Alligator mississippiensis: one gene and its partners. The protein of the gene in region 3 interacts with the protein of the main gene of each other region in a pairwise test. Links are inferred from orthologs where the notes say so. Each region holds a gene or a part of one and is shown on either strand. Other genes may lie near its edges.

Region 1 (3,970 bases), on a different chromosome or scaffold from region 3:
CCCTTTCCTAGTGCTGGTGCAGAGCCCGGTGCCCAGGGAAAGCCCTGTCCTGTGTAGCGCAAAGGCTGTGGAATCCCCGTTTCCCCATACTTTGCTCAGCCCTGGGATAGGGCAGCCCCAGCACCACCTCTGCACCCAGGGAGGGATTTGTCTCACTTTGCTTTGTGTTGGAGGAGGGGAAGAAACATCGCGAGACCTGCGTTTCAGAGCTTAGGTGGTGTTCACAGCCCTGGCTGCTATGTGGTTGGTGAGGTGGGGAAGGGACAATGCAGCTTGGGATGCCAGAAAACAGCAGAGACCCATCACATGCCACGCATTCAAATTAAAACCAGATGGACACCAGCTACAAAAAGTTCTACACTTCCAATCAACATCTTTGTGGCTGATTGGCCATTTTTGTTGTGTGCTAATTACTTTGCATGTACAGCACATCTACATTTATCACACAGTTAATGCCACCTTGTATAGCAAGTTGCTCCTTTTGACATTTTTTAGCATGTTGTTTCTTTACATTTCTAAAGTTTCCTTTACTACTTCACTAACATTATTTTAAGATGGCATTAACCTTTCAAATGTCAGATGGAAAAAAAATCGAAATTATTCAATCTGGCAGATGGAACATAGGCCTGTTTCTGCAGTACTACAGTCCAGCATTCGCTTCATTGGTGAGGGTCATTTGGTGCGTTTTGCTCAGTGTTTCTCAACCTTTTAAGTAGCAAGTGCCCCCTAACTTATGAAAATGTTAATAAGTACCCCAACACTCAATTTTCCAGGGGATATTATATTTGCAGACTGTGTGCCATATTTTGGAAGAACAGCTGTATATATAAGGGCATGACATGACAGATGTCTGATCTGGTGTGGGTAGGATTGCCACCTTTTGCACCAGGGGTGCACAACTCGAGTATGTACCTGAGCTAGAGGTGATGTTGGTTAAAGCTAGGAGGGCTGAGCCCAGTGCTGCACAAAGCACAGTACACCACATTATTACTGGGGAATTTAAAGCGCTGCACAATGCACTGTGTACCAACTTTTTTGCCAGTTTTGAGAGGAGGAAGGGGCAAAAGAGAGTTTTGGGGTTACTGTGTACCCCCTGTCTGTGTCTTTAGGTATAACAACACAAATAACAACCTGGATCAGGGCGCTACTCTGTTGGTTCCTGGTCAGCGCCTACCAAACAATCAGTCCTTTCCCCAGTCTATGGTACTTCCACTCATCTTTGTCGCACGTTGTTTCCTAGTAATTCCCCTAATTTCCCTTGACCAAAAAGGATTCTTGCAGTGCATTTGCTGCTAGTTCAAGCTCCTTTCTCCACAACCCAATGCTTGGTATCATCTCTGCATTTATTTTTTTCAGTGCTGCCTTTTGATGGAAACATAAATGATTAAAGGCAGCCGAATCTCACCCTTGCCTGCAGTCCCCTTCATTTTAATTCATGGGTTTTTTTCGGGGGGGGGAGGTTAAGTCTCCATTTTTTTTGAACGTTTCAACTCTCGATTTGACTGCTTCCCCTTCGCCCGGCAGTCACGGGACTTCCCTCGTCCCGTGCATTTTGCCTTTTTTTTGTTTTCCCCCTTGACGCCTGTGGCCAGTTACTCGCCTGAGAGGGAGAGCGGCCGGCGGCTCGGGCAGGGGCGTCCTCCTGCCCCCTGCACTGGCCCGCGCTCTCCGTGGCTGGGCAGGGGTCGCGGGAGGCCCGGCTCGGGCTGGTGCTGCGAGAGGAGAGGCCGGGCCGGGCCGTCGCTGGAGCGGCGAGGGGCGGCGCGGCGCGGCGGCTCGGCCCCGCGCCGGGGAAGCCCGCGCCGCCGAGGAAACTCCCCGCGCCGGGAGAGGCGGGGAATGAGGAAGGGAGAGCGAGAGAGCGCGGGCGGGAGCCGGAGCCGGAGCCGGAGCGGAGTCGCCGGCCGGGGCGGTGAGTGGCCGCGGGGGGCCGGCGGGTGCGTGACCCGGGAGGGCGCGGGGAGCCCTCGCGGGACGGGCTGGGGCTGAGCGCGGCTTGCGGAGGGGGCAGCTCTGAGCCGCCTCGTCCCCCAGAGAGGCTGCCCTGCCCCAGTGCCTCGCATCTAAGACGAGCCGCAGTGGGATTGGGGGGGCGGTTCCCACTCCCGCCCTGAGCCTGGGTCAGACCCACAGCAGCCGCTTGCCCCCCTGGTCCCCTCTGCCCCGCCGGCGGCAGGGGCTGCGCGCGGGGGAGCGGCCTCAGCAGCCTTGACCGTGAGGGGGGCAGGAAGGGGGCAGAGGCCAAGGGGGGGCGGCCTGCCCGATGACCTCCCCTCTCCCAGCTACCTGATCCTCCCCTCTCCCAGCCGCTGCTTTCCCTTCTGTACCAGTTGGGAGGATGAATTGAAGATGACCCTCCGATAACAAAACAATTATGACAAACTCATACATTTTCTATCTATAGAGTCTAATGGAGTGGGAGGAGGGGTAAGTTAAATGCAGGGCTGTCTCAGAGTCGAGTAAATACAGTATATTTCTCCAGGTAGAAACTACCATGCTCGGGGCCTAGGGCTGGACTATTCTGTTTAAGGTGAAAGGAAAAACAGATATAATTTCTATTGGAATGAGGTAAAGACAACCTGGGAGGCTGTGAAGTAGGAGCATCGGGACCAGGAGCAGCTGACAGTCGCAGTGCAGAACAAAGGCTGGCTGGCGGCTGGGACAGAGAAACCATTCAGAAGCAGAGAGGGTCGGTAACACCTGTGGAGTGAAATGTTTAGAAGGGATCAGGTAGATTATAATGAGCCATAAAGTCAATTGACTTCCTCAGTGCTGCTTGACCAGAAATGTTGCTGCTGCTGGAATCAGAGTGGGGTGCAACATGGATCTGCCCCCATGGTACAGAATTTGGTTCCTTAGGACCTGAATGCTGAGGATGAGCACAGATGCCATGCCTGGGTCTCCCCCACTGCAGTTGGATACAAAATCACAGTCTAAATTAGCATAGCTCTAGCCACTAAATCAGGCTGATATCAACACTTTCTGCTATCCAGCTATGAGATAAATTGTAATATGAAACAACTGGAAGTAACATGCACATAGGAGACTGTGGTGGGTGGAAATGGGTGGGTCAGGTGTGATAGTCTGCAGTGATTTGCCATAGCGTGTGAAAATGTAGAGAAAACTTGAGAGAAGTTTTGTAATTTGAAGGGAAGACCCGACCGCATAGGCAGCTATATAAAAAACATATCTTCCCTTTTTTTTTTTAATTTTTTTTTTTTAGTTTGTTACTTTGGTGCTTACTGTGCCTGTAATTTTACATAGGAAAATCTCTCTCTGTTTCTGAGAGGAGTTTAAAAGCAACAATACAGCAAGGCCCTGTGATGTGCCAAGGTAACATGTGTACTGTAATCTTTTGGCCTCCCTTCCCACACGCACTCAGACCTCAGTTCCGTTTTTGGAGTCTGCAGTTCACTCTGAGATTTGGTTTTGTGCTGGTCGGTCTGGCTGGATTCCAAGCTGGAAGCTTTAGCTTGTGCGTAAAACCTGGAGGGGTTTGCTCTGAAGATTGTTCCCCCGGCCCTGCTTTTAAGCAAGTAAGCTATGAAAACACAGGGCTCATAGTTACGATCTGTTTGTTTGTGCCATTTGTGATTTGAAGTCAGTGGCAGCTTCAGATGCCTAAATATGGAGATAACAACTAACCCTAGGCCTCCAGGTTTTTATTCGTAGGTATTTTTGATTGTAATGCACTCAGCCCGCACACCTGGGCTTGAACCTTGGAGTCTGCACTTGAACTTTAAAGTTCTGTCTATTCTCTTTATTTCTGATAGTTAATTTATTTGGCAGCTGACTAATAAATGAAGGTAACAATATACTTCAAGTGTATTCTGTATCTGCTTTTCTGGGGTTGCAATCTTTATGAATGTATCTAATCTGAAGCAATTTTTAATTCAACATGAGAAGAATTCTGGAGTTTTAGCATGTTCTTTGGAAGGCATTATTAATATTGAGGTTAATTTATTTGCTG
Region 2 (3,970 bases), about 140 Mb from region 3:
TAGCACAAGCTGGGGAAGAATGTAGAAGTTACTCATTCCTCCTCTTCTTGCCTCTGTTCCTGTAAGGTGCTGAGCAAGCTATCTACTGCCATATTTAGGGAACACTGGTCCCATAAAGCCAGCCTCAGGAATTATTAAGGCTAATGCAGCAAAGACTGGATGAGATCCACAGCAAATAATCCTACCTCATGAGTGGTAAGTCCTAGTTGGCGTGCTCCCGAGAGGTCCAGGTCACTGATGGTGGTCACTGTTACCGTGTGGTTTGGGTGATCAATATTCACAGACTCTGTCTGGGATGTCACCAAATGCTCCAGCTCATCAGCCTCATCTACAGAGAGGAGATACTCTATTGTCCATGCAGGAGAGGCATGTACAGTCTTACACAGACCAGCTGGGCATCTCAAGCTAAAACACTCTAACTCCGTTTACTAAGCTCTGAGGGGTGGAGACCCCAAATCTTGTAAGTTGGCCACTGAGAGTTGAAAGGCTGCAAGTCTGAAGTAATAGAGGCAGGTAACAGTTCACTACAAGCAAACATAGTCTCTCTTCACAAATGGAGTTACACGCCAACAGGACCTTAAGGATTTTCTCTAAGTTATTCCTTTACATACAATATGCCTGTCACTTCTACAATATGCAGCCACCCTCCTTCCAGCCAGTGAATGAGGGGTTGTTCTTCAAAGCACCTCACCACTGCTTCTCAGTGAGACACAGGAGTAATAAGATGCCATTACTGCTGAGTCTCTGCTGTACTCCCAACTCCCACCATTCCCAGGGACTAGAAGAATGGATACATATCCCCATGGCAAAACAGAAAATAAAACCCTAAAGCATCAGATTGAGCCTCAAATTACAACCTCTCCTTCTAGGTTCAGCACCCTAGCCAATTTCTTGCAAACCTCAGACTACCATTTCACGTCTAGCAAACAACATCAACCATGGGAGGAAACACTCACCAAGAGCCTCTTCTCTCTCTGTCAGCATTTTCAGGTACTCCTTGTGCCGCTAAAAAGGAAGCAAAAATCATTGCAGTACTTCTATTTTACTAGCTGCCATCTATGCCCCCTACTCTTAAAGCCCACAGCACATGGGTACACCCCACCCTCTACAAGAGGGCTAGAGGAAGCTGCAAAACAGTTTAAGGAGTTGAGAATTCTTATACTGACAGTATGGGCTACAGCTTCCAGAAAAGGTGCTGCCTAAACTCCTTCCATTAACACCCCTGTCTGTGTACCTCATGTCTGCCCTCCCAACACCCTCTGCCTGTCCTTGTGGTCCTGGAACCACCACGCAGCCCTGCTGAACCACACAACCCTTCTCCTGCAAAACCTCTGGCTAACTCCATTCCTGCCTTGTTCCTCTCTGGCATCCTTTTAACAAATACATTTTACCTGTGCCTGCATCCCCCTTGCAATTCCAGATGGGGTCCCCCAGACATACTATGCAACCCTGACCATAAAACCTTGAATCACCACTTCTAACCAGCTAGCCACACAAGCCCATGGAGAAACAATACCTCCTCTTTCATCTTCCTTTGCTCTTCTTTCAGTTTACGTTTGATTTCCTCCACAGCTGCTTTCCTTCGCTCTACTTTCCGCTTGTGGAATCCAGTCAGGTACTCTCTGCAACATAAAAACAACATAAGCACATAAGAATTGCCATATACTGGGTCAGACCACAAGTCCATTTCGCCCAGTATTCTCCATAGAGCCACTGCCATGGGTGCGTACCTGGCATGCTTCACAGACTCCCCCGACACCTGCCCCTTGTACAAGCAAAAGGAGACCCAGCTGCATGCCTACCTCGAGTGTGCCAGGCTGCAGCCCATCCACCACTTCCTCCGCAACCTCTTGCTGAGGTTTTGGCTCCACTACTACCCATACCTTTTTGTTTATGCACTCCCCATCCATAACCCCACTAAGTCCAGGGACCTCCTAGTCAACCTCCTCCTAGCTTAGCCAAGCTAGCTGTCTACCTAGCCAGGCAGGAGACTCTTGCTGGGAGGACCCAAGGGACTGCAGGGCCATTTTCTTGTCTCTGGTTCGCTCTCATCTCCAGGCAGAGTTTTACTGGGCAGTGTCCACTGGCTCCTTGGATGCATTTGGGGGCTAGTGAGCATCGTCTGGTGTACTCTGCACTTGTTTTAAAACTTTGACCTCACTCCTGTCCCTGTTTTCTCTTTAGCTATCCCTCAAAAATCAGCTGGTATGTCCCCAGTGGCCTCCCTACTAAGGGAGGCTTATAGTTGCTCCTTGATAGGCCCAAGCCCATGATCCACTAGGCATATCAAAAGGCTTGTCACCAGGCAGAGATCAGGTGCTGAACAGGAGAGTGAACTGGGTATGACCAGGGTTTACCACCCCCCACCCGCCGGTTCCTCTCTCACTTGCAACCTCAATGCTGGCATTTAAGGTGGAGGAAGTTCCAATTCAGAACCCATGCCCCTCACTCCCGCGCTCAACCACTCCTGATGCCCCTTCTCTCCAAGACTTGGGCCCACCCACTCCTTTCAGACTCTGGCTAAGCTGTCAGCTTCCCCAGCACCGTGAGGCTCCGTGCTGAGTGAAAAAAAAACAGGCACGGTGCAAGTTAGGCCAGCAGTTCCCCATCATCACAGATGCAGGGTACCCTCCAACAGACTCCAGATACCCGCAGAAAAAACACCAGCACTGAGCTTCTGCTCACTTCTCGACTAGGAGGAGAGAAGGGAGCAGTTTTCCGGCAGCAGAGAGCCGGGCTCGGAACACCACCGGCCTTGTGGGTTCCTCTTGGAAGCACCAGGGTTTTTCTCCCACACGGTGCAGAGGTGTGCTCGGAGAGCAGGGCTGCCTTACAGGGACCTGACGGGAACCCCGGCTGAGAATCACCGGGTGCCTTGCCCCTTCCAGCACCCGCAGGAGGCAGGGGCCCAGCTCAGCACGGCCCGAAGCTCTCCATGGGGTGGGGACCAGGCCGCCCCGCGCAGACCCCCTCTGCTCAAGCTCCTATGAAGTGTCCCCAGGGCGAGGCAGGGGACTGCCTGCCTCGTGGGTGCGGCAGAAGGTGCTCACCGCCGCTGCTCCTCATCGAAGACCACAGCCCGCCGCGGCTCCCCACGCCCAACAGGCCTCCTGCGCCCCATGCCGGCCCGCGCCCGCGCTGCGCCTGCGTCGTCCCGCCCCGAACCACGTGACCCCGCCTCACCCCTCCCCCCTGCTGCTGCTGCAGCAGCAGCAGCTAGAGGGCCCCGCCCCGCCCGGGTCCGAGGCGGGAGTAGGCGGAGTTTGTTCCAGCACGCGTGCCCGGGTTGGGTGGAGGGATGTTCGCTGCTGTGCTCTGGCTCTGCTTTCCTCGGGGGGCGCTGAGGGCATGGGGGGAGCATCCTCACAGCTAGCACGGCACCGCTTTTCTTCCGTTCAGAAACCAGAAGCTACTGGTATGCTCAGACAGGGGTTTTTTAATAACTGTCTGCTTTGATCTGCCAAGTGAACCACCACAGCTACTTGGTGGAGTGTTGGAGGTAGAGTTTACATATATATGAACCTTGTTTTGGTTTTTGTTTTTTTGTTTTGTATATATGTATATGTATTTGCAAAACAAACCCCCCCAAAAAACCCAAAACAAGGTTCTTTGGGTAAATGGGAGTCTCCCTTTGCCTGAAGAACTGGTGTATTTGGTAGCCGTGCCAGCCTGAGACTAAAGGAAATGCAAAACCCTAGACCTTTTGGTTCAGAGATGATGCCTTCTATTAGAGCAATCAAGAAACTGCAAAAAAAGAAAAAGAATTTTTTTTTTTTTTGGCAAGCTTTCAGGCTCAAATGCATTTTGTTAATCCATTTTGGTGATCCATTTCCTTCCTCAGGCTCTGGGAAAATTAAAGAGGGTCAAAAGTTCCCCTAGGTGGGAAATAAACTTTGTTTTAGCACTTTATGCCTGAGGAAGGGCGCTTGTGCCTGAAAGCTTGCAGAGCACTTTGTTCCAACTCCTTGGG
Region 3 (3,970 bases):
TTGACTTGAAACACCTTAGAAGAGGCCTGACTTTCAGAAAAGCCTATGCACCCCCTCTCTAAAAAATCAGGTCCCTTGCAGGTATCAAGTCAGACAAAAAGGAAACCGTCTCTATTTCCAATCACATAAAAATTCAGACCAAAACACCTGATGTGAACTGCATGATAAATCCCACTGTTTATAGACACCACCTTACACTGAGCTGCACTAGAATTTTTAAATTGATACAATTTAATCTGCAGAGAACGCTTGATAAAAGGGCCAAAACTAAGATGGTGGGAGTGGGTATTGATGGTTGCTCAACACTGTAGAAATATCAGGCCATCCTATTAGATACCTAACTATGGATTTAGAGCCGAACTTTTGCCCCTATTTCTGAATATTTTTCCAGAACTATCATTCAAAATAGGTTTAAGTCTGGCACTTTAAATTTAACAATAAATATTGAAAATATGAGTAACCTCATAACAAAAGCAAGAGGGGAAGAGTATTTCTATCAATGTACTATTTTTTTCCCTCTTCTTTCCTACGATCAACATTTACCTACATTCAATTCTAATGCATCAAAACACCATACAGGTCAGTCGCATCATACACACATTTAACTTGCGCGAATTCAACTATACGTGGGGTGGGAGGGGGGGCAGGGCTCGAGTTTGCATGTGTGCCCGGAGCTGTGGCTGGCCGCCGGGTGGGAGCAGCAGCATGGTGGTGCCCGGGCGGCACGCAGCCATCCCCACCCTGCACTGCCGCCGCCAGCCACACAGCTCTAAGCACGGCTCCGCAGCGGCGGCGGGAGGTTTTGGAGGCAGAGGCAGTCACTGCTGGCATGGTAATATGCGATTTCACTATACACGATTTTCGCCTTACGCACCGACTTTAACGTAACCCCTGCGTAAGATGCGACTGACCTGTACTTATTTCTTGCAGTTACACATAGTGATACAGGGTCTGATCTTTCAGAAGTAAAGTCATTAGACACTCGAAATGCTTTTGAAAGTCACGATTCCCATCAGAGCACACACCAACTGCTGAAGCTTCCTTAGCCTGATGAAGGGGTTTTGAACCCAAAAGCTTACTTAATAACTATTCTCCAACCATTTGGGTTGGTCTAATAAAAGATATCAAATTCACCCAAGGAACCTTGTCTGCCTACGATCCCCATCAAGGATTTGAATGAGCATAGTGGATAAAGAGGAAATTTATGTTGGAGAATGGTTAGCCTTTTTATATTACAAACATAGCAGTTGGTAATTCAATTCGGGTCAGACTCGATGATCTAATAGGTCCCTTCTGACTCTCAAATCAATGAAATCTATGAATACCCTTTTTTGGGGGAAGGCAGAACAACTAGTAGGGGACCATGATCTGGTGTGCGTGGCGGAGTCTTGCTTCTTTGAAGATCTCTTTTTTTTTGTTGGTGTTCATTTGTTTGCAAAATAATTATTGCACATCGAACAGTGGGCCACCAACATTAGAAATGTTTTTTAATACAAAGCATCCGGTAGGTAACCTTCACTTAATCTGCTTGGGGGTTTTCAAGAGGAGTTTGGACAGATATCTGGCTGAGGTACTACGATCCCGGCACTCGTTCCTGCCCGGGGTAGGGGGTCGGGCTTGATGATCTGTTCAGGTCCCGTCCGACCCTAGAAACGACAAAACTATAAGAAACTACGCTGTACACGCAACACACCGCTTAGCTTCATTGCTCTACCTCAGCCATAACAAGCAGCTCCCGTGTCGCGGCGCTCAGGGACCGGCTGTCGCATCCCGCGGCTCTCCTTCGTGACGCTGCTTAAAAAAAAATCAGGAAGGAGAAAACCAATGAGTCCGAAAACAAGCCCAGGACAGCGACACCGACATCTGCTGCGGAACGATATTTTGCAAGGGCCAACTAAAAAAATTATCAGAGCCGCGGTCCATGCCGGGAAGGTCGCGGTTGGGCTGCCAACGAGAATTTAATATCCCTGAAGACCCAGATTTTTTTTTTTTAAATGACAAATATCTGCACAGATTTTCTAGCGCGACCCCAAGGGTCAGCGGCGGGACGGGGGGGCGTTTCAGGACCACCCTGCAGCGGGGCACTGGGTAGCTCGGCAGAGGATGCCCAGGAAATGCCTCTTTGATGGCGCTGGGTTTCTTTGGGCCGTGAGGAAACCAGAGAGCAGCCAGAGGGTGGGGGAGGCAGCTCAGCAGCTGGGGGGCCCTCCAAGGTCCTGGGGGAAAACCAGGGCTGGCCCCGACCGGGAAGGCCTCAACCCCGGTCTAGTAGGAGACCTTAAACCCCTCACCCTCACCCGCCGCCGATAACCCCACCCGAAAGGAATCCAGCTTCCGGCTTCCTGTCCTCTGACTTCCTGTTGTGGCCCCGCCCCGGAAGGAACCGTCTTCCGGCTTGCGAGCTTTCTGCACAGCCCCTCATCCGCCGCTCCGAAGGAGTTGGCTTCCGGCTTCCGGCGCTGCGCGCGCAGTCACGCAGCCCCGCGGCTCGGAGGAGGCGGCGGCGCCGCGGGGCCCGCTCGGGCCGGTGCAGGCGCTGCCATTGCGGGAGCGGAGGAGCCGAGGTAGGAGTAGAGAGAGGCCAGTTGCTGCACAGGAAGGCAGGCTCTTCCCCCCCCCCCCCGCAAAAAAAAATTCCCAGTCAAACCAGGCGTATAAAAATTCCTCCTGCCCCCCACAGCGCTGGTTTCAGTGCAGACAGCGGGCAGGTTGCGGTTGCGGTGCCCCCCCGGGCTGCAGGGGGGGGCCCGTCAGGCGTTAGTGGCCTATGGGTAGGGAAAGGTCAGGCTGGTGTCCCGGGAATGGGAGACGAATAAGACGGACTGGACTCGGAGGCAGGCGGACGTGGCGACGAAGGGTGCGGATGACGGTTATCAACCAGCACCCCCCGTTTCGACTTGGCGATGTCGGTTTCGACTCGGCGACGCTGGATCCGGCGCGCCGGCGTCGCCCGTCTGCCTGGAGAGCATCTGTCCGAACGTCCTCGGGCGCTTTGAAGAAGGCAGGCGAGACTCCAGGAAACCTGCGGCCAAGACTCGTGAGGAGACTGGAAAGGTCCGGCCGAGTCGCCTCAAAGAAGTCCTTCCAAATCCTTACGATTGCTATGTATGATACGAATGCAGCTGTGTATCCAGGTTGTAGCCGTATTGGTCTAGAGGAAAAGGCGATCACGCCTCGTAGTCGAGGTGATCTCGTTTATTTGGCCAATAAGATTTTTGCAAAAAAATTCTTTTCCTTTTTTTGCAAAAAACCTTGTTGGTCTAATAAAAGAGATCATCTCTACTACGAGTCTTGATTGCCTTTCACTGTTGCTATATTACTTATGTGTAATTGATTGAGTACAATTTCTGAGTTATTTTTGGTGGGAAGATGGTATCGGTTCAGAAACCAATCCCCCAATTATAACATTGTTTCCTATGGGAAACTGCATTGCGAATTACAATGTTTCACCTTAAGACACGGTTTTCAGGATTGAGTGGTGCTGTAAGTCCGAGGACGGCCTGTATAGAATATAATTAATGGTTGAGACAAGGGCAGCCTGTGCTTCTTTCTCCCTGTCTGGACTCGAAAATAAAGGGAAATGCGCTGAAATTGAAGAGGGAGATTTAAAACTGGTATGAAGAGGTGTTTCGCACGTTATTTAAATTGTGGCATTTGTTACAAGGAAGCTGTTGGGTAAGATGGAGAGAAGAACAAGATTTACAAACGGACTGGATTGTCAAGACTTGTTACAATTCATTATTTGTACTGCAAGACTTACACTAAGCATTTTGGAGCGGTGACTTTCTTAGTTTTGTTTTGCACAATACCTTCCCCGATTGGATTGAGTCCCTGCCGAGGTCTCCTAGGAGCTACTGTAACATAACTATTAGAGACCAGGTTGAGACCTCAGTGGGAAGCCACTTATTCCCCATCTTAGTAGTGTTGTGTTTGTGCACCTTCCTCCAAAGTATTTGTAGCTGGTCATTGC

The links.
Region 1: the proteins of CEP70 (region 3) and ARHGEF3 interact in binary tests that used the Homo sapiens proteins (3 or more experiments, as listed by UniProt). The link is inferred for Alligator mississippiensis from reciprocal best matches to the Homo sapiens genes CEP70 and ARHGEF3.
Region 2: the proteins of CEP70 (region 3) and NOL12 interact in binary tests that used the Homo sapiens proteins (3 or more experiments, as listed by UniProt). The two-hybrid records come from large-scale screens. The link is inferred for Alligator mississippiensis from reciprocal best matches to the Homo sapiens genes CEP70 and NOL12.

Annotation. Positions count from the first base shown.
Region 1 is NC_081835.1:21,411,045-21,415,014, forward strand, and holds the start of ARHGEF3 (rho guanine nucleotide exchange factor 3), read left to right. Parts: upstream 1-1,764; 5' UTR 1,765-1,839; coding exon 1,840-1,912; intron 1,913-3,970. UniProt on the Homo sapiens protein: Acts as a guanine nucleotide exchange factor (GEF) for RhoA and RhoB GTPases.
Region 2 is NC_081827.1:100,081,127-100,085,096, forward strand, and holds the start of NOL12 (nucleolar protein 12), read right to left. Parts: upstream 3,161-3,970; 5' UTR 3,122-3,160; coding exon 3,051-3,121; intron 1,623-3,050; coding exon 1,517-1,622; intron 1,006-1,516; coding exon 957-1,005; intron 329-956; coding exon 186-328; intron 1-185. UniProt on the Homo sapiens protein: Multifunctional RNA binding protein that plays a role in RNA metabolism and DNA maintenance. Participates in the resolution of DNA stress and the maintenance of genome integrity by localizing to sites of DNA insults.
Region 3 is NC_081827.1:243,542,931-243,546,900, forward strand, and holds the start of CEP70 (centrosomal protein of 70 kDa), read right to left. Parts: upstream 2,594-3,970; 5' UTR 2,423-2,593; coding exon 2,317-2,422; exon of another isoform or gene 2,292-2,316; intron 2,251-2,291; exon of another isoform or gene 1,795-2,250; coding exon 1,715-1,794; exon of another isoform or gene 1,694-1,714; intron 1-1,693. Other genes in the region: FAIM (fas apoptotic inhibitory molecule 1), read left to right, coding at 2,768-3,054.